4 linked regions of the Drosophila melanogaster genome follow. The protein of the gene in region 4 purifies or fractionates together with the protein of the main gene of each other region. This does not show direct contact. Each region holds a gene or a part of one and is shown on either strand. Other genes may lie near its edges. The genes, in order: CG9581, Oscillin, CG14823 and sphe.

Region 1 (5,352 bases), 3.5 Mb from region 4:
CAAACGCTGGCCGAGACCGATGACTACGCCCGCAAGGGCGTCTCCATGGAGCGAATGATCAAGGTGTACCAGGACTCAATCAGCAGCCTGGAGCACTGCCCCAAGCCGGTCATCACGGCGGTGCACAAGGCGTGCATCGGCGCCGGCGTGGACCTGATTACCGCCGCCGACATTCGCTACTGCACCGAGGACGCCTTTTTCCAGGTCAAGGAGGTGGACATCGGCATGGCCGCCGACGTGGGCACCCTGCAGCGTCTGCCCAAGGCAGTGGGCAGTCAGTCCCTCGCCCGCGAGCTGTGCTTCACTGGGCGCAAATTCGAGGCCGCCGAGGCCCACTCCTCGGGCCTGGTGAGTCGCCTCTTCCCAGACAAGGATTCCCTGCTGACCGGAGCCCTGGCCGTGGCCGAGCTCATCGCTAGCAAGAGTCCCGTCGCCGTAAAGACAACCAAGGAGAGCCTCGTGTACTCCCTGGAGCACACCAATCAAGAGGGCTTGGATCACATTGTGGGTATCCTAATATCTCAACGAATTTGCACGAGCTAACCACGCCTCACGCCTCACACCTTGCAGCTCCTGCTGAACAAGCTCAACCTGCTGTCGGAGGACTTCGCCCAGGCTGTGGCCGCCCAGTTGACGAAGGACGATAAGCCAGTGTTCGCCAAGCTGTGATCGGTAACCTGTAATATGTAATCTGCAATCTGACAGAATTTAAAATGTATTTGCCATGTGTGCATTTATAAATACAGCATCTGCCTTTACTTTAGGACCCAAATCAGCTCATAAGGTTGTCGGGAGAATGAAAGGCTTATGACTAGGAATTTGGTTTTCGTTGTGAGCTCTTAAAACGCCTCCGCGGATGAGGCACCGGGGTTCTTCTGTTGCTGTTTGCAAAGCTCCTGCAGGGCGCGTGGATCCTTGACGCACGCCTCAGTTAGAACTTCCACGTGGCCGTTCTCGTTGATGAGCAGATCGTCTTCGATGCGGATGCCGATGCCCCGGAACTCGGGCGGCACGTCGCCGCAATCCTGGCCAATGTAGATGCCCGGCTCAACGGTGAAGACCATGCCGGGCACGATGCGTGTGTTGCGTGGCACGTGCGGTGTGTCGTGCACGTCCATCCCAAGGTAGTGGGAGACGTGGTGCGGACAGAAGCGGTAGCCCTGGCTGACCAGTTCCTTGTACTCGCTGAACGACTTGCCCACCAGCCCGATCTCCTGCAAGTACTTGCCCAGCTTGTAGCAGGTGGTCTCGAACAGCTGGTCGAGCGTCTCGCCGCCCGGCTTCATCACGTTGCCAATAATCTCCTCCTGCAGCTGGTGCAGCATGTCGTACAGTGTGCGCTGCGGCTCCGTGAAAACCCCACTCGCCGGCCAGGTGCGTGTGATGTCGCTGGTGTAGCCGCCATACTCGCAGCCGGCGTCCATCAGCACGAGATCCTGCTGACCCAACAACTGGCTGTTGGCCACGTAGTGGATCACCGTGGCGTTTTTACCGGCAGCCACCACCGGCGGGTAGGCCAGGTAGCTGGCGTTGCGCATGCGGCACTTGTAGTCAATCGCGGCGAACAGATGGTGCTCCGACTGACCTGGCCGGGTCTCGGCCATCACTTCGTTGAACGAGCGTGAGGCTATGTCGCAGGTGCGCCGCATTAACTGCATCTCGTCGCGGGACTTAAGCAGGCGCATGGCTTCTAGGAAAGTGTAGGCCGGCAGCAGCGGACGCTGCTGATTGCCGCTCAATCGCAGCATGTTCTCCGCCAGGGACGGCAGGTCGGTGCTCTTCTGATCGAACCAGATGTGTGGTTTTAGGGCGCCTGCGCGCTTGGCCAGCACCGCCTCCAGCTGGGACAGCGGATGGGCCTCAGTGACTCCGAAAAGCGGCACCGCGAGCTCGGGCCCAGTGCGCGGACCATCCCACAGCTCGGCATGCGGGTCCTTGGGACGCATAAACAGCTCGGACTGCACGTTCTGGGCCTCGTCGATGGTCAGCAGTAGCACGGCGTCCGGCTCTAGGCAGCCAGTTAGGTAGTAGAAGTCCGAGTTCTGGCGGAACACGTACGGGATCTTGCCGCTCATATACTTCTTGGAGGCGGCGCCCAGAACGAGCTGTCAGAGATTCAAGTTTATATATTTTGCTTCTCTTTGTAGCCTGCAGGTCCTCACCATGTGACAAGAACTCGAGTGCCCATTGAACTCGCCGCCGAAACTGCGTGCATAGGCGCGGATGTTTTGCATCAGCTGCGAACGGCGTTCCTTGATCTCGGTCAGCTCCACGCCCGGAACCAGCTCGTCCGGCTGGATAAGATGTGGATGCGAGACGCTGGTGGGCTGTCCCAGGTTTCCCTTTTGCTGGCGCAGAATCTGAGCCACGCCACGCACCTCGGCCGCGTTTACTGTCGATTTGCTGCTGGGACTTCCTGGGGAGATCGTGGTGGACTGGCTCATCCAGCGGTGTGGCCACAGGCTGGTGGAAATGGCGGCGCTGCGGCGGACGGTGGGAGCGATCAGGCGGTCCAGGCGCCTTAGGATATTCATCGTGCTGCCGGTTCCGGTTCTTGGGTTGCCAACTAAAATCTTCACAATATTATACACATCAGAAAACGGAACTGTTAAAAACACTAACGATCCTGGATAAAAACAAAACACATGGGTTGCCAGACGATTGCTTAACAAGAGTCCCGCCGATTGACAGATGTCGATAACTATCGTTGTAAAATTATACAACTATGTGAATGTAGTTTCGCCTTACCTATAGCAGCTTTCAAAAAACGCGATTCATTTCGAATTGTGTACAACCACGGCTTATATAAGCTTATGAATCCACTCAAGTACGCCAACTTGATTGCTTTCGCCCCATAGCATTTAAATATTGCGCTGCAATCGAAAAACCTCGATAGTACCGCCGCTAAGCTTTAGAAGTAATCGACATTGGCATCCCTAACATAATAACAAAAATTTTTAACAGGATCAATAGGGGGCTTTGGAACAGTATTTTCGACTTAGACAGACACTTTGAAATCATTTGACATATCTTTAGAATGTCCATGGAGGAGGTATGTGTTGGTATAGCCCAGTTCCAATGGCCAAACACTCAATGTAATCCCGTCCTGCAGTGCTTTGTGCCCCGGCTGCCGGTGGACAGCGAGTTCATCCAGTTCCACGACTGGGCCATCAAGTATGAGAAGTCGCACATCCTGAAGAGCAGCTGCCAACTGGGCACCGCCAAGTGCTGTCCCAAGGACTCGGCCGACCGCTGCGACCTCTGCCACTACCAGCACTCCCTGCAGCTGCCCCACCTGCCCGACATGGTGTTCCACAAGAATCGGCTGGTGTTACAGCACAAGGACGGCGCCACTCTCGAGTTCTGCCCCATGGACGCGCTGGCGCTGGTGGACAATGGGAAGCAGCCGCTGGAGGTCGCTTGTGCTCAGGAGTGGCGGGAAACGCGGTGGGTACTCCCATTGAGATTGGGATATGGATCGTTCTACTGTTGTTCCTCTATAAATCGCCCAAATGATTGAATTCTATACTCCAGTAACGAGCAGACAATGGAGGAGAAGTTCAAGCCTTTCGACTGGACATTCACCTCCACCTACCAGGGCACCATGAACGAAAAAGTGCGATCGGAGACCACGAATCAGACGCTGAACAAGTTCAAGCTGATGCAGCGCGAGAACATCATCTTCTACCACGATTTAACTCTGTTCGAGGATGAGCTGCACGACCACGGAATATCGGTGATGAGCGTGCGAATCGTAAGTGCTGATAAATACAAATTATAGAGCCCTTATCGAAGAAGCCCAACTCTTTCTGGCACAGCGCGTGATGCCCTCTGGCTTCTTCATCCTTTTGCGCCACTTTCTGCGCGTGGACCACGTGCTAATCCGGATGCACGACACCCGCTTCCACCACGAGATCGAGAACGACTTTATCCTGAAAGAGTACATCCATCGGGAGGCGCCTTGCACTGAGCTTCAAAACTGTGTGGCCTTCTGGACCAACCCGGATGAAATGCAAGAATTTGTGCCCGTGAAGTCCAAGCAGTTGCACAAGCTCTTCTTTAAGTAGTCCCGATGTCCGATGCTAGATGCCAGATCCCAGATCTCTAGGTTTATGTCAGTCGTCGCATTGGTTACAACTGCTGCTATATGCGTTTATTTATTGCCAACAGTGTGCGCATGCGCAGACGACATTAAAAGCGATTTTCCTAAAAGGCACACTACGATCAAAGCTATTAACACGAATAAAATATTGGGCGGACCAGCTGCCACATCCTCGGGCCTAGGCGGATCCAAGTAGGGCTGTCAGGGCCCGCTTGTAGTCACCAGAGGTCTCCGCCTGGAAAGTAAAGAAAGGAACGTATTGAAGCGAGATCCAAGTTCTTGCTTTTTTGGCTATGCCCTCTACACTACAATTACTACTTTGCCCGAAAATACTTTTTTGGCAAGCCAATAATGAGATATCGAAAAATGCCCAAGAACCAGTTTGCTTCGGCGTTCTTAGAAATAATTTGATGGGGATTTTGGCAGCATATGTAGCGTAAAAGGAACACTTGATAACGTGGAGTAACCAAGACCAGGAATACATCCGTTTCACCAATGGCGTGGCCAATACTTACGTCCTAGGACAACACAAACACCGCAACAAATGCCGACAAGTACGTGAAGAGAAGGGGAAAGGGGTGCGTTAACCATGTGCGAAGCACTCGCGATTCTTCGAGATCCACTTACCACCACGGCGCTGTGCAGCGTACGGTTGTAGATCCGCTCGAACTCCTGCTTAATGGTCTCCAGGTCGATCTCCGAGCGGCTGACGATGATGCGGATGAGCGTGGCGTCATCGGTGCCGGCGCCATTCATGGCCTTGTACAGGCGGTTGGCGAAGAAGGCCGCCGGTGACTGGACGCACTCAACTAAAAGGTTAAGAAGTGTGTCATTTAACCAAGTGTCTGTTACAACAATTACTTATAACGGAACAGTTAAATATATACTGACCTATGGCCATCATGGCCTCGTGCAGCTCGTCGGACATCTCGTGCTTGATGGCCTGCTCGATGGTCTGCCCGGAGAGCACCTTGTACTCCTCGAAGACGAGTCGCAGCTGCGGGAAGCTGGCGTGCGACATGATCCGGTTGAAGACCTCCTCGTCCGTTCCCAGCTTGGCCTCGCCGGCCGAGTAGAGCTGGGCGGCCTGCTCCTTGGCCTGACCGACGTCGACGGGCGTGTCCAGTCCGTCACGTACTCCGGTCACGATCAGCGTGAGCAGGCGGCGGAAAAAGCCGGAGGTCTCGCTGCACATCTGCTCGGCCAGCGGGCGCTGGTAGCGCTCCTCGTAGACGGCCACGATCTGGGCC
Region 2 (6,001 bases), on a different chromosome or scaffold from region 4:
ACTTGCAGTATTTAAACAAAAGTAGAAGTTATGCAGTTATGCCTGATCTTAAGCGAAATGCATTCTGTTGCTTAAACATTTCCTATTGTTATCTATACCTGGTTTTTCTTAGGGGAAATGCGAATTGGCAGGCAATACTTAGATCTGGAAGACCATCTGTCGCATCGCAGGTATAAAATCGGCCATAAGAATTTAAAGCTTCGAAAAAACCCAGCCTTTGACCTGCTCATAATCACAAACAGGTCAGAGCACCACCCACATCGACTACCTGTCGCACTATATAAACCCACCAAATCAACCTCATCATTATCACTCACATTCCAACCGCCGATAGCCATGGCTCAGTCCACGAATTCCAAGAAGCTGATGATGTTCCGCACTCCCAACGAGGAGGAGGCCCTGAAGAATCAGATCTTCATCTTTAACTCGCCCATTGACTACAAGGACCAGCAGCTGATCGTGTACCAGAAACCAGGCATCCTCACCGGAGACAAGGACTACGGCTACTGCGTGGTGTACAAGCGAGATCACTACGTGCTCAATAACCCGCCCAACTTCAAGAGCCCCACGAAGAGGAGCTTCCTCAACGAATGCATCCGCCAGTTGTATCTGATGAACGGCATGGGTCACAAGATGTACTGGAGGACTACAAGTGCAATGGCGCTGAGTACACCCGGCGAAGTGTGGCACCAGGTGAACAGTTGCCTGCTCCCAGAACGACTGACGCCGCAAAAGGAGAGCCTGAAGCGGGTGAAGAGGCAACTTTTCCGGGATCCACGGGCAGATCGCAAGAATCCCAACCCACTCAAAGGCAAATGCTGGGGCACCCAAGTCTTCTGCTTCAAATCGATGCGCGAGAAGATTGGCAGGAAGTACATCCGCCGGGGCTATCTGACCATCGCACGCCGCGAAGCCCTGCAGGAGATGATCCGTGAGCACTTGGCACGAGAAATGGTCTGCACTCCGGCCGCATGCAGAACGGTAATCAGCGCCTCCGACGGAATCTTCAATGTGAATGCCGGTGTCATCGGCGACATCTGTAGCTACCACAGCCACGCGGCTCGCCATCAGCCCGTCGTGGAGCGCCGTCTGACGGCCGGCGAAGCACGTCTCCGGAACAACGAGGCCTGTCGCCTGACTCAGCGGGCCAAGCGGCTGGAGGCCATGTTCATACACGAACAAGTGCGACGGGCCGTCCAGAACCACCAGCTCATTCTGGAGGAGTCGGTGCGATCCATCTACTATGCCAAGGAGCTCTTCCGCCTTATCGAGGATCACGAGGAGTTCGTCTACACGGACAACAAGATCCTGTCTAGAATCTGACGGACCCTTCTTGAATGGCATAGCCACCACTTTTATACCCCTTATAGTGTACACATATTTGTAATTATAGAACATTTAGATAATAAAATGGAAACCACAAAATTATACAGTGAACTTGAACTTTCAATATTTATGGGCAACCTAAAATTTATAGTTTTTAAATAAAAGATTACTCAACATCTTTCGCATAAATTTTAAAGAAATTTAAGGCGATAACATATAAAAATTCATTTATTGTATAAAAATTCGATTCCTTTTGATTGAAAAAACTATAATGCTGGTAACGATGGAATCCAGATCTCCATTATTCCCTTTAGTATCTGGGGTTACGTCGTCTTTTGTTGCTCTATCAGCTTGGAATGGACGTCCATCAGACTCTGCAAAATTGGTATATATATTAATTAATTATAATAATATTTAGAGTTTATTAGAAGAATATAACGTGTCTGCAAGTATATTTATATTTTAATTCATGTCAAGGTCCTAAGATTTTATCAAGACAATTGCTTTATATTTCTTAAAATGAAAAAACTTGGAAAAAAAGGCATTTAAAAGTAATATTTAATTTTGATTTCTTTTTTTAGCTGGATTATTCTAATGACCTTATAAGAACTAGTTTATAGCAGCAGGCAGTCTTCCATCCGATAATCATTACTTGTTGACTCTCTTAATCACAGAAATAGTCCTTGGAATCAATATCATTTACTTAAAAATTGCTTTGGAAAATAAAGCTGTATACTTTACGCATTATCAGTTTTTGTAGCCCTCCAGTGGGGAGCCTTCGTCTAGATCTCTGAGAATGCCCTGTGAAATTGTGGGAATGGCCAGTCAGCCAGTCGTTAACAAAATGCTGTCTCTTTTAACGTTCTACTTAACCGTATGCCTACAACCGTGGAAGCTTTTATATTACAAGCATATAGGCATGCAAAATTCTTAGACTTAACTAACAACCATATAAGAGTTCACATGTATCCAACTTCTGCTTCTAAAGATTAGATTTTCAAGTTAGGGGGGTTATTAGACCAACACCTTCGGTAGACCCTAATTCACCAGTATACCAGTTCTATTCCCAGTTCGTCTACAAAAGCGACGACATCGTGGGCGGGCATACCTTGAAATATTTAACGGTCTTAACTCTCAGCTCCAAAGTGGCATCCTCGTCGCAGATCATCAGGGTATTTGCATGCTGCTGGAAGGCACTGACGGTCCACATGTGATTCACACCCTCCTCGATGGCCTTGTACAGGGCAAATGCCTTGTGAGCTCCGGTGATGAGGATCATCACCTCCTTGGAGTCCATCACAGTGCCAACGCCCACGGTTAAAGCCTGTTTGGGCACCTTGCTCATATCGTTGTCAAAGAAACGGGCATTCGCTTCAAGTGTATCCTGCGCCAGAGTTTTCACCCGCGTTCGGGACACCAATGAGGAGCCGGGCTCATTGAAGGCAATATGGCCATCGGGTCCGATGCCACCGATGAACAGCTCCACTCCTCCAGCCTCGCGGATCTGATCCTCGAACTTATTGCACTCGGCCACCAGATCAGCTGCATTGCCATCCAAAATGTGCACATTCTTGGGCTCAATGTCGATGTGCTTGAAGAAGTTGTTCCACATGAAGTAGTGATAGCTCTCATGGTGATCTCTGGCCAGTCCTAGAAAAAGAATGGGGCACAATTGACATGAAACAGATCTAGTAAACGTTATGAAATGATAACTCACCCACATACTCATCCATATTGAAGGTTTTCACATACTGAAAGGATACCTTGCCCTGCTTATGAAACTCGATCAGTTCTTTGTACATTCCCAATGGCGTAGATCCCGTGGGCAGGCCCAAAACGAAGTATCTAAAGAATAGTGCCTGTTACCAGGTGCCAAATGTATATAGCTTATATGTATGTGCATACCTGTCGGCACTCGGCTGAAAGTCATTGATGCGTTTCATCACATATTTGGCCGCCCACTTGCCCACCGAGTCGCTGGTTTCCAAGATGACCAATCTCATTGTTAAGCTGAAAGCGTTATTAAATATATGAAATAAGTGCAGAATATGATAATCTTACTTTTCAGTGAAAATCTAAAACACATTACCGGCTGTGAGTGCCGAAAAGGAATGACAGTTCCGATATGGAAAAACAAAGGCCTTATCGTTAACTAGCCGAACCCAGGATTTAGATTAGATGTTGATAAGATACAAGAGTAATGCGGCTCATTCAGTTGTGTTTTTCGTGTGTGTACTCGCTTGTTTATTGTCCAAATCAGCTGATAAGCCGCAAGTACTTGGCCATTATTGACAATTAATCCATTTATGGCGTTGCCCCCATGGAAAACACTTTCGTTTTCACTTGGCAATGCGATTTGTACTTGCATTTATGCAATATACATATGTATTAACTTGGCTACTCACCTTCAAAACACGCGAATGCAAACAGCTGCTTATTGATGATTATTATTACTTGATTTTTGCTCGCACTGCTGCTTTTGTCGCTTATTTCCGATTTCAGCTGCTAACTGAGACTGTTCAATTGTTCAATTCGAACAGCAAATTTATGCAGCGATTAGCTCGAGTTTGAGTTTGTTTTTGCGGCTGCGGTTGGAATAAGAGAGAGAAAAAGAGAGAGAATAATCAGAAATGCAATTGCAAGCAACCTTGAGATACTTTTGTTATCGTTATCGCGGGTTAAACGGTCACTGCATTTGCCAGTTGAACGAACTTTAACCGCATCTCTCGCGTTGAGTGCGTTTCGTTTGAGTGGATTTTGCTCTCTTCTCTATCGACAGGGTTGACACCTAACATTTTTAAAAGAAACAATCATGGTCGGAAGAAGAAGAGAAATTATATTTATAAATGCGAAAGCACGTTGGTTTTGAAACGTCCTGCACTCAAAAATAATCGATAAGTCACTCAAAAATAAAGTTTATGAGCGAACACACGCATTGAAAAAGCATGTAGGCAACTAATACAGACGCAGAAAAATTAAAATTCCAAAAATAACTCATGGCGACGAATAGAAACGCAAAGCGAGTGACGAAAAAAGGGCCACCAGGCGTCGAAAGTGAAATGCGTACCCTACTATTACGAAATTCGTAGGAGCTTATTGGTTTCAGTATACGCTTTAAAACTATTTAATACTTTTTTATGTCTTTCTCTCTATTGCTAAATCAAAGTTTGTTTTTAATTTTTATTAAACATGGTTTCTTTATTTTTTAATTATCAAATTATTAGCAATTACATACATAAACGTAGATGTACTTAAAATTTAGTTGTATTCATCAGTTTTTGTATAATAGTCTGTGTGGGCGTTGCATTTGTTTGGCCGGCGTAAAACGCGACCACGCCCACCCATAAAAAATGCGACGGATCGCTGAGCCGCTACGTGTACTTCCATTTTCTTTCGTTTTTCTTCTTTGTTGCTTTTGTAATTGTTGTACATTTGTGTTGTTGCTGTTAATGCTGTTGTTGTTGTTGCTGTTCTTATTGTTGCTCGTCCGGTAAAATGTCTGCAGGAAGCTCAAGAACCGGTCTAAACCGGGAGAAAGCCGTTTTGGTGGATCGTAAACCCTATGGCCATGGCTAAAAATATATATTGCTGGCTGGTTGTCACTTCCGTAGGCATGAGTCTATATATATAATGTATGTATGTATATGTATGTATAATGTATAATGTATTTTATGTTGATTGTACAAAAAATACTTAAATAAATATGTCTGTTGTCAGGAGCGTTTGTTTTCTTTAGTTAATCCTCTTGACCTGTATCTTATAAATCACTCACTACGTGCTCGTTGTTTTTTTTTTGTTGTTGTTTGCTGACGTCGACTGGTTTATCTGGGATATAGCTTAAAAACTAATTTACTAAATATGTAGGTGGAGCGTAAGTACATCGAAAATATTGTTTTTCTTGCAATATTTTCAAAGTTCTTGCCGCCGCGAATACAAGAAGTGAACGTCTTACGTAAATTCTATGTGGCATAAAAAAGAGGCAACATGCCTCTCCAGTTTATACCAAATAAAGTTTACAATAGATTAGTTAACGCGGAAATACAAAAACATCGAAACAATAAACTATAGAATTTGTTAAGAAAGGGAAAACGAAAGTGTACAAACGAAACGAAGATTCAGGATGTCTTCTACACAAATGTTTTTGATTAAATAATTGGCGCTGCGGCCACAAAAAATAACTTAGCTGAATAATAAATCTCTGTACCTCGGTGTGTGTGTTTTTGGGTTCTAAATTATGATCTTCGTGTGTGCTTATTTTGTTTGTCTTGTTCAGCAAAGAGGAAAGAGTTGTGTTGTGCTGCGTTTGATTTTACATAATGGCGCACTTCTCGTTTGACTGCTGAGGATCGCCCTGCTGGTGGTAGAGCTGCTCATTGCCGTCCACGGCGGTCACGCTGCGACGACGACTCAGCCGGGAGGAGGATGTGTGTTGGGACACAATGCGCTTGATGCGATCCAGATTGGCCACGGCCTCGCCCTCGGAGTTCAGCAAAATCGTCCTAGTGTTGTCGGCGGAGACCCACTTCTGTGACTTCATCACAAGGCTCGATGGCGGCTCGTGCGAGGCCTTGGTGTCCGCCGACCAAACGGTGATCACGCCATTTGGCTCGATCCTCACCGATCGATGGAACTTGTAAGTGGTCGAAGGACCTTTCTCGTTGATTAGCCGCTGCAG
Region 3 (6,492 bases), on a different chromosome or scaffold from region 4:
AAGTTTCCAAGTTGAGCGCCAAAAAATCCTTATCACAACTGGCAGTGCATTCCATCAATTTTGCACCACTTTCAGTTCACCTCCATCTCTGCCATTCTATCTCCTCGCCGTACTGCAATAAAGCAATCAATTTCGAGAACACCCCCCGCGGCTTTTCCAGCCCCGGCTCAGCTTTCCCTCACACCCTTCCCATCGTGGATGAACGACACCTTTGACACGGACCAGTGAAAAAGAAAAATATCAGCGCACATCGAGTTATTCAACCGAATTGGTAATTGTTTTTAAATGAAACTCTTTTGTCCTTGGCCATGGCCAGTTGGCAGCAATTCAGCAGTTCAGCCGGTCGGTCCCCAATCAATCAAACAATCAAGCCATGTTTATCAACAGCGCTCAATATCGACAATAACTAATGAACACGAATCGCGAGTCTGAGTCGCTTCTTATCGGATTGTCTATGCCGCATATTGTCTGCTCATTTGGACTATTTCTGTTTGCAACATGCGCTATTTGCACATTTGATTGAATAAAGTTATGTACACTTGTCATGCAATCGAGAGATTAGGACTCAGGCGAGGCAGAAATCAACGTCATCGTCCTAGGGATAAACAATGCCGACTTACTTGGGCATTGATGTCGGTAAGGCTAAAATAATTAAATGTGAAATATAAAATACAGAGAAAAATATCTCGGTATTAAAACTCTGCCAACTTTATAAACATTGAAGTTGAATCATGAATTAACAAAAAGTTCTTAGATTTGTATTATAAGTATATGCAAACCTATGCCATAAGTCTCTTTATCCTGCGATTAAGAGTCCGACAAATCCTAGGTAGGCCATGATGGAAATCATAAATTTATGCATTGCGCATACGCACTGTTTGCCCGCTATCAGTCGCAACAAATTAATGCGACATGGCAGCAATTAGTCCGGCCCTGCTAAATGATTTAAAACTTGCGCCAAAACTTTTGTCTCCCCTCCGCTTGTTTGTCCGCTACATTTTGCGCAAACTTTTAATTATTACACACTTGCGAGTTGTTGTTCAATTTGTTCGCGATGCTGCCAGATTATAAAGTTTTGTCGAGTTCAATTATGTACGCCGAATCGTCGTCATTGTTTGTTCTAATTCGCTCCCATTAACTTTGTGCTCTGGACGGCCCATTTCGATGTGCAATTAGTGTGTCCATGCCGGGAATAGCGTAAATTTTTTATACGAATCTCAGAGTTACTTTGCCTCAGACGGCCTGGTGCCCAAAATCAAACTATTTTTTCTTTTGCCATGTTCGAGGCAGATATAACCATCTGGCCGTTTTTCCACTCGGAATCTGTGGATGATAGGCGAAGATATATCATAAAGGTTATTCTGGAGTTATGCGTCTTCATTGTGATAGGATTTGTTCACTGGATCCTGGTGCTAACCTTGCTGCAGTAAGATTTGGATAATAACTTTTTTACTTATGATTTATGTAATTACTACTAGCGAATGGTTTCTGGTCTTGGTAAACGAGCACTCATCTGCATTGCTCCTAGCCTTTGTATTTGGCATTTTCCTACTTTTCCTGTTTGCCCTAAGTATGCCGCTAAGGAAAATGTCCTGTGTCAACTGGCTGATTACGTTTATTATCGTGGGTATTCTAACAATTAAATTACCTAACAATGTAACCCCATAGCATATTAAGGTGGAATGTGTGGTAGTTTCTCTCAGTGTGCTGATCATATCATCGGGAGTACTTTATATGCTTGCCGGATTTCTGATTGTCAGCCTTGCATTTGTGTTATGTACACTTATAGCTGCTTTAATGGCGGTAAGCTAGTACAGATAAAGGATGTTAAATAATCAACCAAAATCTTGCCTAAGTATGACCTCACAGGCACCGGACTCTACCTATATGCCCTTGCAACTGGCACTTACTCACTGAGCATATACTCCCTGGTATTGTATGTGGTTCTCGACGTGATCTGGGGATTTTATCTCTTCGCATTCTGTATCGGCTGTGTGGTGATGATGGTAAGCATTTTTCGCATTTTACCAGCCTGCAACTGTCTGCCGCATAACCACAAATCACTTGCAGTTCCTGATGTATCATGTGCAGTGCATCATGGGCGGAAGAAGGGCCTCGACCAAGTTGTTCGATGACAAGTTCGCCGCCCTGCTGCTGTTCCACGAGTTCATAGGCCTCTTTGTGCTAACCCTCTACTGGCGGCCCATAATGCATCGCCTGCAGTTGAAACAATAAACGAACAATCGGTTTTAAGTAATCCCCCTGTATTTCAAGCAGTTTTCCAATCTCCTCTCAGACAGGCTCCCCAGTGGCTCCTGCCTGCGGCAGCCGCCGGGTCCTCTCATGTGCAGCCTCACATGATCCCGACACTCGATCCGTCCGTCTCCATTGCAATCCTCGCCACCATATCGCTGCACATAGCTACGCACAATACGCTCGGCGCACTGGACATCCACCACGCATCTTCCGTAGTCTGTGGGTTGAAGGGTGAGATGTAGGAAAAAGGGTTAGTCGGTGGACATTACACGCTTGTGGCAGCCTGGCAACAACAGGATACACATGAAGAAATTTACAACAAAATCTTGAAACTGAAGATGAAAAGCAAATTTAAAATTAATAGAGAAATGGAGAAATGGCTTATGCTTTCGACTTGTTGTAATTTTGTTGCCAAACATTTTTGCTCAGTGTATTCATTACCCCGGGCGAGTGAGTCGTCCGGGTCAATTATCCGGAGTGCGTCCTGCCAGTAGACGTGGGAGATGCGATAAATGCCGCACGGCTCCTCTGGTCGTCCTCGGTGCCTGCAGATTGCCGGAATATTATCCGTGGCAGTGGTGGCCATGCAGTCCAGGCACTTGGCACTGGGCTCTGGGGAGGATGTCGGAGGCGGCTGGAATGTTGTTATCGTCGAGGTCTGGGCATCTGCAAAATGCATTCCAAAGAGGGTCCAATTAGCCGTTTAATCGAAACTATTTACCACACAATATGGCTAACAGCATGCAGCATAGTTGGCAGTGAGTTATCCATAGTTCCCGTGGACGTAAATAGCTCCTAGACCTCACGTTTAAACCGCACTCTCCTCGTTAGTTGCAAAGTTTTTTGAGTATGTTTTATTAGCAGATTTACTGAAGCAACTTTAAACTGCACTTTTATGAACTTTAAATTGATGTAAAACATAGTTCCGACTATATTTTGGCCTTATAAGTGCAGAGGACGTTGCTAAACGAAACTTAAATTGAGTTCACATTTGGTGTTTACAAACTTCCTGTTACTTAATAAATATAAGTCTTCCGTCGGAAAAATAATTGTTTGAGACTAAAGTTTTCAAGTCGAACTTAAGGCGAATGTAGAAACTATAAATCTATATTGAATGCTGGCAAACTTTAGCAGATGTGTATTTATTATTTACAGTTTAATCTCAAACTTTTACGTGCTTGACATACTGTCGATGACTGTCACTTATTGAAATGATCGATTAAAATTTTTTATATACAATAAAAACAACTCACGCGTTGCATAGTTGTTGTGTAATAAATACAAGCTTTTATTTATTATCGCTATAATTTCGAAACGTTGAAATCTGCTGGTTCATCTAATGGCAATTCTAATCAGTCAGCTGGGAAAGAAAAAAAACAAAACAAAGAAAAAGAGAGAAAATACCACTATCCCAACAATATAAACCGCTTATAAAATTAACCGAAGTCTAAGAGCTTCTTAGCGATTGAACAAGAGTCCTTGTGGCACACTCACCCACTCCCGCAGCGGTGACCATGGGAAAGTCCTCCTCCAGGACCTCCACTTGCCCCCGATCCTTGAGATTGATGTGCAGTCGGCCCAGATGATGCTTCTGTCTTAAGTGCATGTAAATGGCGCCGATGATGAGCAGAAGGGCGATGAAAATGGCGCCCGTACTCAGGACTTGGCGAGTGCAGCAGGACCTTCGAGTCCATCGTTTCCGCTTACGACTTTCCCCGGACATTGACAGCGCTTCGGCATATTCCTGATGCTCCACCACCTTGGACTCATCCGTTTCCACATCATCCTCACTGTATTTGGCCAATTCCGCCACACTGCTGCTGCATGTGGGCTCCATGGCGAGCTGGCTTCTCCCTTTGCTATCGCAAACCGACTAACCCAAGCGAATAGCTGGAACACTCTGTGGCATTTGTACATGGTACCAAGTTACAGGTGCTGCTCGAGATAACCTCCCCTCGATTATCGCTCAATGTTGTCGGCGTAATTGATGCCCGGCGATTGCGGTTTCTACATTCCCAGCGTTTTTTTTTCCCCCGACCAGCTAATCTGTTCCAGCGTTTGTTCTCCATTCCTCCAGCATTTCGGTGATTTTTCTCTCGCATTCAAGTGGCGCTCAACATGGTGATTTTTCTCCAATTCCCGAACATCAGTAGTTGTACACCTCAACAAGTTTAAATTGCATGTGGTTTCATTCCTAAAAGTGGCACGAATTTAAACAAGTAGTGAGTTTATTTTAAAAGTACTATATTCGGCAGCATTGGCGACCAAGCCGTGCTTATTTTGCACATAATACTCAAACTAATATGATTGAAATTATTTCAGAAAGTGAATAAAAATATTATCAAAAATGTGGTATCTGCATTTAATTTTAAGCTTTGTATATTTTTAATTTCATTCTCTTATATTTCTTTGGCATTTGATTAATTATAACAGCTCTAATAAAGAACTGAATGTATGCACAATTTTTCATGGAAGCATAGTTTAATATATTTAATACATATGTTTTCGTGACATGGAACATAATTTTTTTTTTAAATTTCAGCAGTATGTAGTTTTTATTGATTTTATTACATATTCATTTGATTTTTTCACGTGTATCTTTAGATTGGGTGTCGGTGACACTCCGCTTCCATTTGCGACATGACAACTTATGGCAGCCGTCCATTGAAAGGGGGGAAATGGGTGGCGATATTTGCCAAATGGGTGGTGGTTGGGTGGCTGGTTTTGCTGATAACCTTGCGCATTTGTATGCGCGAATTGTAAACAAATATGAGAAATTGTTGAGACTCTTGCGGCGAAATTGGAACGAAAGTTGGGGCAGCAAACAACAGCAGCCGTTTGTGGCACCAGTATCCAGTGGAAGGAGCGTCATCCTTCGAGAAGGGGTGTGACCAGGACGTCCTCGAAGCCTCCTGAAGTGCCACTTCTTCATACGCAAACTTACTTCACGACCATCGAAATCTGTCAACAGCAAAGTGTGGGTGTACCCGTGCAATGCATCCTAAAATGCTGCAAATCTCTGTTTACTTCCCATTTATTTATATTATTTTTCTAGAATATCTTCGATCAAGTTTGTTTGCTATCAAGTGGGACAGCAAAGATTTTTCGAAAACTTTTCATTGAGATGAGAACAAAGTTGTTGACACCTTCCAATCACGCCTTGCATTCTTGGACTTTTGGCACTCAAACAATTTTTACAAACTGCTTCCAAAAGTGTAAATACAAAAGAATTCCATGTTTTGCGAAAATATCAAACAAATTAAAGATTTTAAGATTTTAAAATGGGAAAGAAGACTTTGAATTTATTTAAGTTGTTCATTTCCTATTTAAAGAAATATACAAGCAAATAATTTCCTTCTTTTGCCAGAGCATGCTCAAATATTCGTTAAGAATTTTTCCAAAACTATCGTCCCTTTTTTTTGGGGACGCCTCTGAACACATCCTGCACAGGTGCTCGGCAAATAAAAGAAATGCTCCGTCACTTAGTTGATTATTCTTTCAGTTTTTCTGTACAGCAGCCATTTCCACATTGCCTCGCCAATGTCGCCATTGTCTCAAGGCGTTTCCGTTTCCCATTTCGGTATGTTTTTCTTCACATACGGCCAAGGCAAAAACTCATTTGTATGTGTGGGGGTGCGTGAGGGTTTCCTGCCCCTGACTAACACATGGCCAGATGAAAGGACGAGCCAGACCGCAAGCCAAAATCAATTATGGAAAAATTACCAGTGGTTGGGCTAAATGGCCTTTATACCGTTTGGATTGGGATTGCTTTTGGGATACGAATGGGATGAGGGTGTCGCCATGCATGTGAAATAATATGCGGTGAATTCTTTTCTTGCAAATTTTCCACTCCAGTTCCTTTTGTGAGCTGGCATTTAAGACCTCGTCCTTCGGGTTTTCTCCGCGCGCGGAAAATGCACGAAAATGGGAAAGGAAAATGAAAATGAGCTGAAATCTGAACGCGAGTACGAGCACTTGGTGCACTCGATTATGGTGGGCGGCAAGCTGCCGTTCAGCGGTAACGGTAACGGCTCTTTCCGGTCTGATTTTGCCACCCACTTCCTCTTTCCGCCCAGTTTGACCACCTCGTCCTTTTGCCGCTGCCGCTGTTGCATGCGATATGCATGAGTTGAGCCAATGTGGCCATTCCGGCTGATGTACACGGGGCACGTAGCATGCTAAAACAAAGTTAATTAGATTTGCGGCAAGATGCCCATTATGGCTTAAATGAGAAGG
Region 4 (4,735 bases):
GTAGCAGGCACCCTTATCCTTGGGATGCAGCAGGCACATCGTGGTTTCCGGCAGCTGGCGTAAGTACGTCTTCTGGCAAGATTCCCGGGATAGGGCCTTCACCTGCACGTAGAGCAGGGAGTTGGAGATCGGTCCGCGCTGGGAGATGGCGCCCCAGCCGGAGATGTCCACGGTGGCATCGTTGGGCGGATCTTCGGTGGCCAGCTTGATGGCGGCTATGTTGGAGTTAAAGGTCAGCGAGTTGCGAAGTCGCAGCACGGCGACATCGTGGCCATTGGAGTTGTAATTGGGATGCACGGTGACGGTGGCCACTGGAACGCGAACTCCTCCGCTGGAAAGGAGCAGGCTGCCCGCCTGAATCTCCAGCTCATTAGCTGGAGCTCTAAGGGCAAGCACTCTGATTGAGAAACGCGAAATCCCGAAGATTCAATACCTACACATTGTTGCCTTGCTTAACGCAATGGGCGGCGGTGACAACGTAGTCCTTGGAGATTATGGAGCCACCACAAGTGTGGCTTCCACGTCGACGTAGTGAGATCTGGTGAGGAAACTGACCCTCCCTCGCCTTGGTGCCGCCCACAATGCGGGGCTCCACTACGGAATCGTTTTGTGCCAGGACTCCGGCTGCGCAAAGGACGAGTAGAGATGTCCAGAATGGTAACATGACTGGTTGGGCTTAGCTAACTGAAAAGCAGTGCTCACTGCAAGTTTCACTGGATGTATATATATATATATGTATATGTATGCATATATACTACCCAAATCTAAGACGCTCATCATCATTAGTTCCTTAAAATGTCAAAGTCAATGTCGCTATCGAGCTGCTGCCTAATTTAGTTTAGTTACCCCATTTCGTTCGCAAATGAAGCCCCTCTAATTACAAGGGGTGTGCAACGCACGGTGGTAAGAGTTTGGAGGTCAAAGTTGGACGAAAAGGGTTAAGGAAGCACGAAAATGTTTAAACGAAATTTGCCGAAAGTTTCCTATTGCATAATTATTGCACATTTATTATAATTATTAGATCTTAAAGTGCAGATCTCTTCAGTTTCGAACAGCAAAAGAAGGCATTTAAAAAAAAGGTTTGGTTTTGGATTTTGAAAAGTCTTCAAGTTTCCTTATATAACTAATTGTAGGCCCAAATTACGTAAAGCTTGCCTAAATTGACCCTAAAACCGGAATGCTTTATCGATGACTCGAGTTCTGGGCTATAAAAGCCATGCCATTGAGGTCATAAATACAATAAATAAGCATGCTTAGTTAGCGATTATTACGTTAACCACAAGTCCAGTGGCAATCACCGATCCTTATCCTTATCAAAATCAAACTATTGAGTCATTTTGCCCGCTTTGAGTTTGGGAAAATAGTTTCTATTTTGTTAGCTTGTGAAGGAAAAACGGGATGAAACGGATCTAGGCGATCTGCTCCTGGATCCAATCCGCGTAGCTGGAGAGTCGGACAAAGACATCCGGATAGCGGGAGCCACAGGCGCCCACCACAAAGTTGGTCAGCCCGATCAACGTGTTGCCATAGATGGCACCACCGCCTCCGTCTCCGTGGCAGGTGCCCTCCTTCAGCTCGTGGGCGAGGCAGAAGCTCTGCTCGTCGTGATCGCTGTACGCATCCAGGCAGGTCGCCTCCGGGGCCACCTTTAGCGATATCTGACGGATCTTGTAGGAGTTGGTGCCGTCGCTGGTGCGTCCCCAGCCGGCCACGATCACCTCCGATCCCTCGGCGGGCAGTGCCTCTCCGCTGGCGACCAGCGGGATGGCAGTGATCCGATCGGTGTAGGTCAGCTCAGAGCTCAGCGTGATCACGGCCAGGTTGTTGTTCAGATTATAGTAGTCCGGATGCACTGCAACCGATTCCACGTTGACAATCTTGCCACCAGCATACTGGTTGGTACTGCCCACGCGGCACGCCAGGCGACTGGCATCGATTCTGTTGGGGATTTCGTGAGAATAATCTAGATTACTTTATCAAGACTTTTGTATTGAATGTATTGTATATAATGGTTTAAACAAAAAGGGAATACATGGTTATTCGAGGCATAGGCCATCTTCAAATATCACTCATTCGCCTAGTTGTACAAACCAAACTACATATTTGCTACTTCCACTATTTAAGAGCACTTAATATTAATAATATGAATCAATTAATTAGTAGTAAAAATTAATTAATTAGTAGATTGACTTTGGTACTCACAGCTTTCCATCGCGATGCACACAGTGGGCGGTGGTCAGGATTTTGGTCTGGGAGAGAATGCTACCGCCGCACACATGGGCATTGTCCACCCGCAAGGAGGCGGTGAAGGTCGTGGCTGTGGCGTCCGCGTCCTCCCCTCCCATGATGCGTCCCTGGGCGTGGCACATGCCCACCGCCGTCAATCCGATCAGACCCAAAATCACTAGTCTCGGCTGCATCATTTTGTTCCTGTATTTTTTTTTTGGTTTTTTATTTGGTGGTTCTGCTACCCACGGCAGTTGGAATGAAAATGCGCAATGCCAGCGACGAGAATATAAGAGACTAGCTCCATATAACTACCACCTCCTCCACCTTCTACCCGAAGTTCTCCACCACTTCCTTGACCAATCCTTATCTTCGGCTTGGGCATCAGAGAAAATCTAATCTTATCGCCTTATGGCAATGGCTTTATGCCGCTATAGACTATTGTTACTTGTTAGTTCACCGATTAATTGGCACATAAATAGAAAATTGCACAAGTCGGTTGAAGGGAAGTCCAAATAAACCAAACGACCAGTGTCCAGTGACAGTACAACTACAACCATCTATAGGAGATAATGATGAGTAACACATGACTCAGGGGAGCTACGGAAATTAGGGTGCTTCAGGTCTCAGAATAATCTAAAATCAGTCGTGGAAAACTTTGGATTTTTTGAGTTGCTCTTTCAATAAAATGTCTAAACATTTTGGTGTTAATTAAACTCTATAAAATTGCCTTGAATGTAAGCAAATTATCAACGTATTTAGTAGGAATTACCCTTTAGCTTGGCGATAACAAATCTGGATTATAAAGATTTAGCCCAGTCATTGGCGATTGATCAAGCTAGCTGCACAAAAGTTTGGTTCCCAGGTTGATTACGGCGATTTCCTTCGATCTCTATCTAAATGTTCTGTTAAATAGCCATACTCTCTAATATATATGACTCCATAAACAATAATAGCCAATTGTTGTGACCATTTACTTGGCAATTTTGTTAGATAATCCTTGACGGCATCCCATAAATTAGAAACAGGTTTCAAGGTAATTTCTTAGTAATTAAAGAACCTTTGAACGGCGCCAATTAAATGTTATTCTATCGATTGTAGCTTTATGACCAGCACTAAATTCCATATAGTTTGCATCCATATAAAGTTAAAAACACAAAACGTTTTTTTTTGTAGAGGGAGTAACACACTTTATGCACATGAAAAAAATGTATAAAAAAATAAAGGGTAGTCCTTGGATGGCGAACCAAAAGTTTTACTGGGTATTGGCCTCGATCCAGGTTAGGTAGTAGGAGACACGGGTGGCCACATCCGGATACTTGCTGCCGCAGGGTCCGAAGTTGAAGCTGGTCAAACCGCGAAGCACCTTGTCGTCATCGATGACAGCCGCACCGGCATCCCCACGACAGATGCCCTCGCCCTCGGCTCTCGAGAGGCAGACGACGGATTCGTAGCCGTATCCGGCTTCCCATTCGCACAGGGATCGGCTCAGCGTATTGTAGTTGGCCTTCTGCTGTTTATAGGATGCAGTACCATCCGAAAGTTCACCCCATCCAGCCACATAGACCGGAGTTCCGTTGGGCAGCTCAGCGTCCACATCTTCCGTCTCCTCATCAGTTGTGGGGGGCAGTGCGATGTCTTGGATGCGATCGCTAAAGACCAGGGTCTCGTCCAGCTCCAGTATGGCGATGTCGTGCAGGAAGTTTCCGTACGATGGATGGATGATCACGCTCTTTACATTCACAATGCTGCCGCCGGCGTACTGGTTAATGGTGCCCAGGCGAACAGCCAAGGTGCTGGCATCCACTCTGGGGATTTAGAACAAATAGGGATTAGAACTGGTAGATGAATATATATTCTTAAAGTTCTCAAAGTGAAGTGCTTAGGGAATCCAAGTGTATATAATCATAAAGTGTAGTTAGAACTCACGGGGTGATGCCCACGCTGGACACACAGTGGGCGGCGGTCAGGATGTGGTTTGTTGAGATGATGGCGCCGGAGCAGACGTGGGCCTTGTTGTATCTCACGGATGCGGACCAGGGGTACTCGCCCTGGGCAACGTCCTCGCCGCCAAGAATGCGACCTTGTGGCGAGGCTTCCGCGGAGAGGATCAGGCCAAAGATTAGCAGGCCGAGGCCGAGAGTAATGCGTGGATCAGCCATGGCGATGGATTGGCAACTGAATGGGCCCATCAGCCAACGATCGGTGGTCACCGCCACTTAGCGATCTAATCGATGGGCATTGTATGGCGATAAGGAGAGCGACTTGAATTTATGGGGGTAACAATCGTGTGGCGATTAGATTGCTTAACCCATGGTCGTAAACGGGGTGTTCTATAAAGGTCCGCCGGCCGGTAGGCGCACCTTTCAGTTGAGATCCCACAAGCCATGAGTCCGGTTCAGTCATATTCACACAGTCGACTACTCCTGCTCGTGGTCATCGTGACCTTGGGCGTGGTCCAATCCAGTCGACTGCCGGCGGAGGTGGGCTCCCAGCCACACAGCATCTC

What was found.
Region 1: the proteins of sphe (region 4) and CG9581 purify together in Drosophila melanogaster (affinity purification with mass spectrometry, with the first as the bait; one large-scale study listed by BioGRID). This does not show direct contact.
Region 2: the proteins of sphe (region 4) and Oscillin purify together in Drosophila melanogaster (affinity purification with mass spectrometry, with the first as the bait; one large-scale study listed by BioGRID). This does not show direct contact.
Region 3: the proteins of sphe (region 4) and CG14823 purify together in Drosophila melanogaster (affinity purification with mass spectrometry, with the first as the bait; one large-scale study listed by BioGRID). This does not show direct contact.

The regions. Positions count from the first base shown.
Region 1 is NC_004354.4:20,167,312-20,172,663, forward strand, and holds CG9581 (uncharacterized protein), read right to left. Parts: upstream 2,671-5,352; 5' UTR 2,535-2,670; coding exon 2,163-2,534; intron 2,106-2,162; coding exon 840-2,105; 3' UTR 731-839; downstream 1-730. Other genes in the region: CG9577 (uncharacterized protein), read left to right, coding at 1-504, 571-669; CG9578 (uncharacterized protein), read left to right, coding at 3,038-3,052, 3,113-3,447, 3,535-3,754, 3,819-4,067; AnxB10 (annexin B10), read right to left, coding at 4,281-4,337, 4,618-4,620, 4,730-4,911, 4,994-5,352.
Region 2 is NT_033779.5:5,545,143-5,551,143, reverse strand, and holds Oscillin (oscillin), read right to left. Parts: upstream 4,059-6,001; 5' UTR 4,039-4,058; intron 3,942-4,038; exon of another isoform or gene 3,912-3,941; 5' UTR 3,732-3,911; exon of another isoform or gene 3,337-3,731; 5' UTR 3,330-3,336; coding exon 3,232-3,329; intron 3,172-3,231; coding exon 3,044-3,171; intron 2,977-3,043; coding exon 2,435-2,976; coding exon of another isoform or gene 2,402-2,434; exon of another isoform or gene 2,128-2,401; coding exon 2,074-2,127; 3' UTR 2,068-2,073; exon of another isoform or gene 1,725-2,067; intron 1,701-1,724; coding exon of another isoform or gene 1,650-1,700; 3' UTR 1,530-1,649; downstream 1-1,529. Other genes in the region: CG14014 (uncharacterized protein), read left to right, coding at 337-1,323; Lam (lamin), read right to left, coding at 5,636-6,001. UniProt on the Drosophila melanogaster protein: Catalyzes the reversible conversion of alpha-D-glucosamine 6-phosphate (GlcN-6P) into beta-D-fructose 6-phosphate (Fru-6P) and ammonium ion, a regulatory reaction step in de novo uridine diphosphate-N-acetyl-alpha-D-glucosamine (UDP-GlcNAc) biosynthesis via hexosamine pathway.
Region 3 is NT_037436.4:7,063,985-7,070,476, reverse strand, and holds CG14823 (uncharacterized protein), read right to left. Parts: upstream 4,164-6,492; 5' UTR 4,094-4,163; coding exon 3,751-4,093; coding exon of another isoform or gene 3,704-3,750; exon of another isoform or gene 3,617-3,703; coding exon of another isoform or gene 3,609-3,616; exon of another isoform or gene 3,510-3,608; intron 2,923-3,509; coding exon 2,698-2,922; intron 2,474-2,697; coding exon 2,250-2,473; 3' UTR 2,236-2,249; coding exon of another isoform or gene 2,071-2,235; 3' UTR 2,007-2,070; coding exon of another isoform or gene 1,857-2,006; 3' UTR 1,804-1,856; coding exon of another isoform or gene 1,678-1,803; 3' UTR 1,624-1,677; coding exon of another isoform or gene 1,479-1,623; 3' UTR 1,427-1,478; coding exon of another isoform or gene 1,278-1,426; 3' UTR 1,014-1,277; downstream 1-1,013. Other genes in the region: CG32391 (uncharacterized protein), read left to right, coding at 1,278-1,426, 1,479-1,623, 1,678-1,803, 1,857-2,006, 2,071-2,235.
Region 4 is NC_004354.4:16,699,475-16,704,209, forward strand, and holds sphe (spheroide), read right to left. Parts: upstream 2,499-4,735; 5' UTR 2,424-2,498; coding exon 2,203-2,423; intron 1,939-2,202; coding exon 1,410-1,938; 3' UTR 972-1,409; downstream 1-971. Other genes in the region: CG9676 (uncharacterized protein), read right to left, coding at 1-382, 438-664; CG9673 (uncharacterized protein), read right to left, coding at 3,482-4,034, 4,156-4,388; CG4653 (uncharacterized protein), read left to right, coding at 4,614-4,735.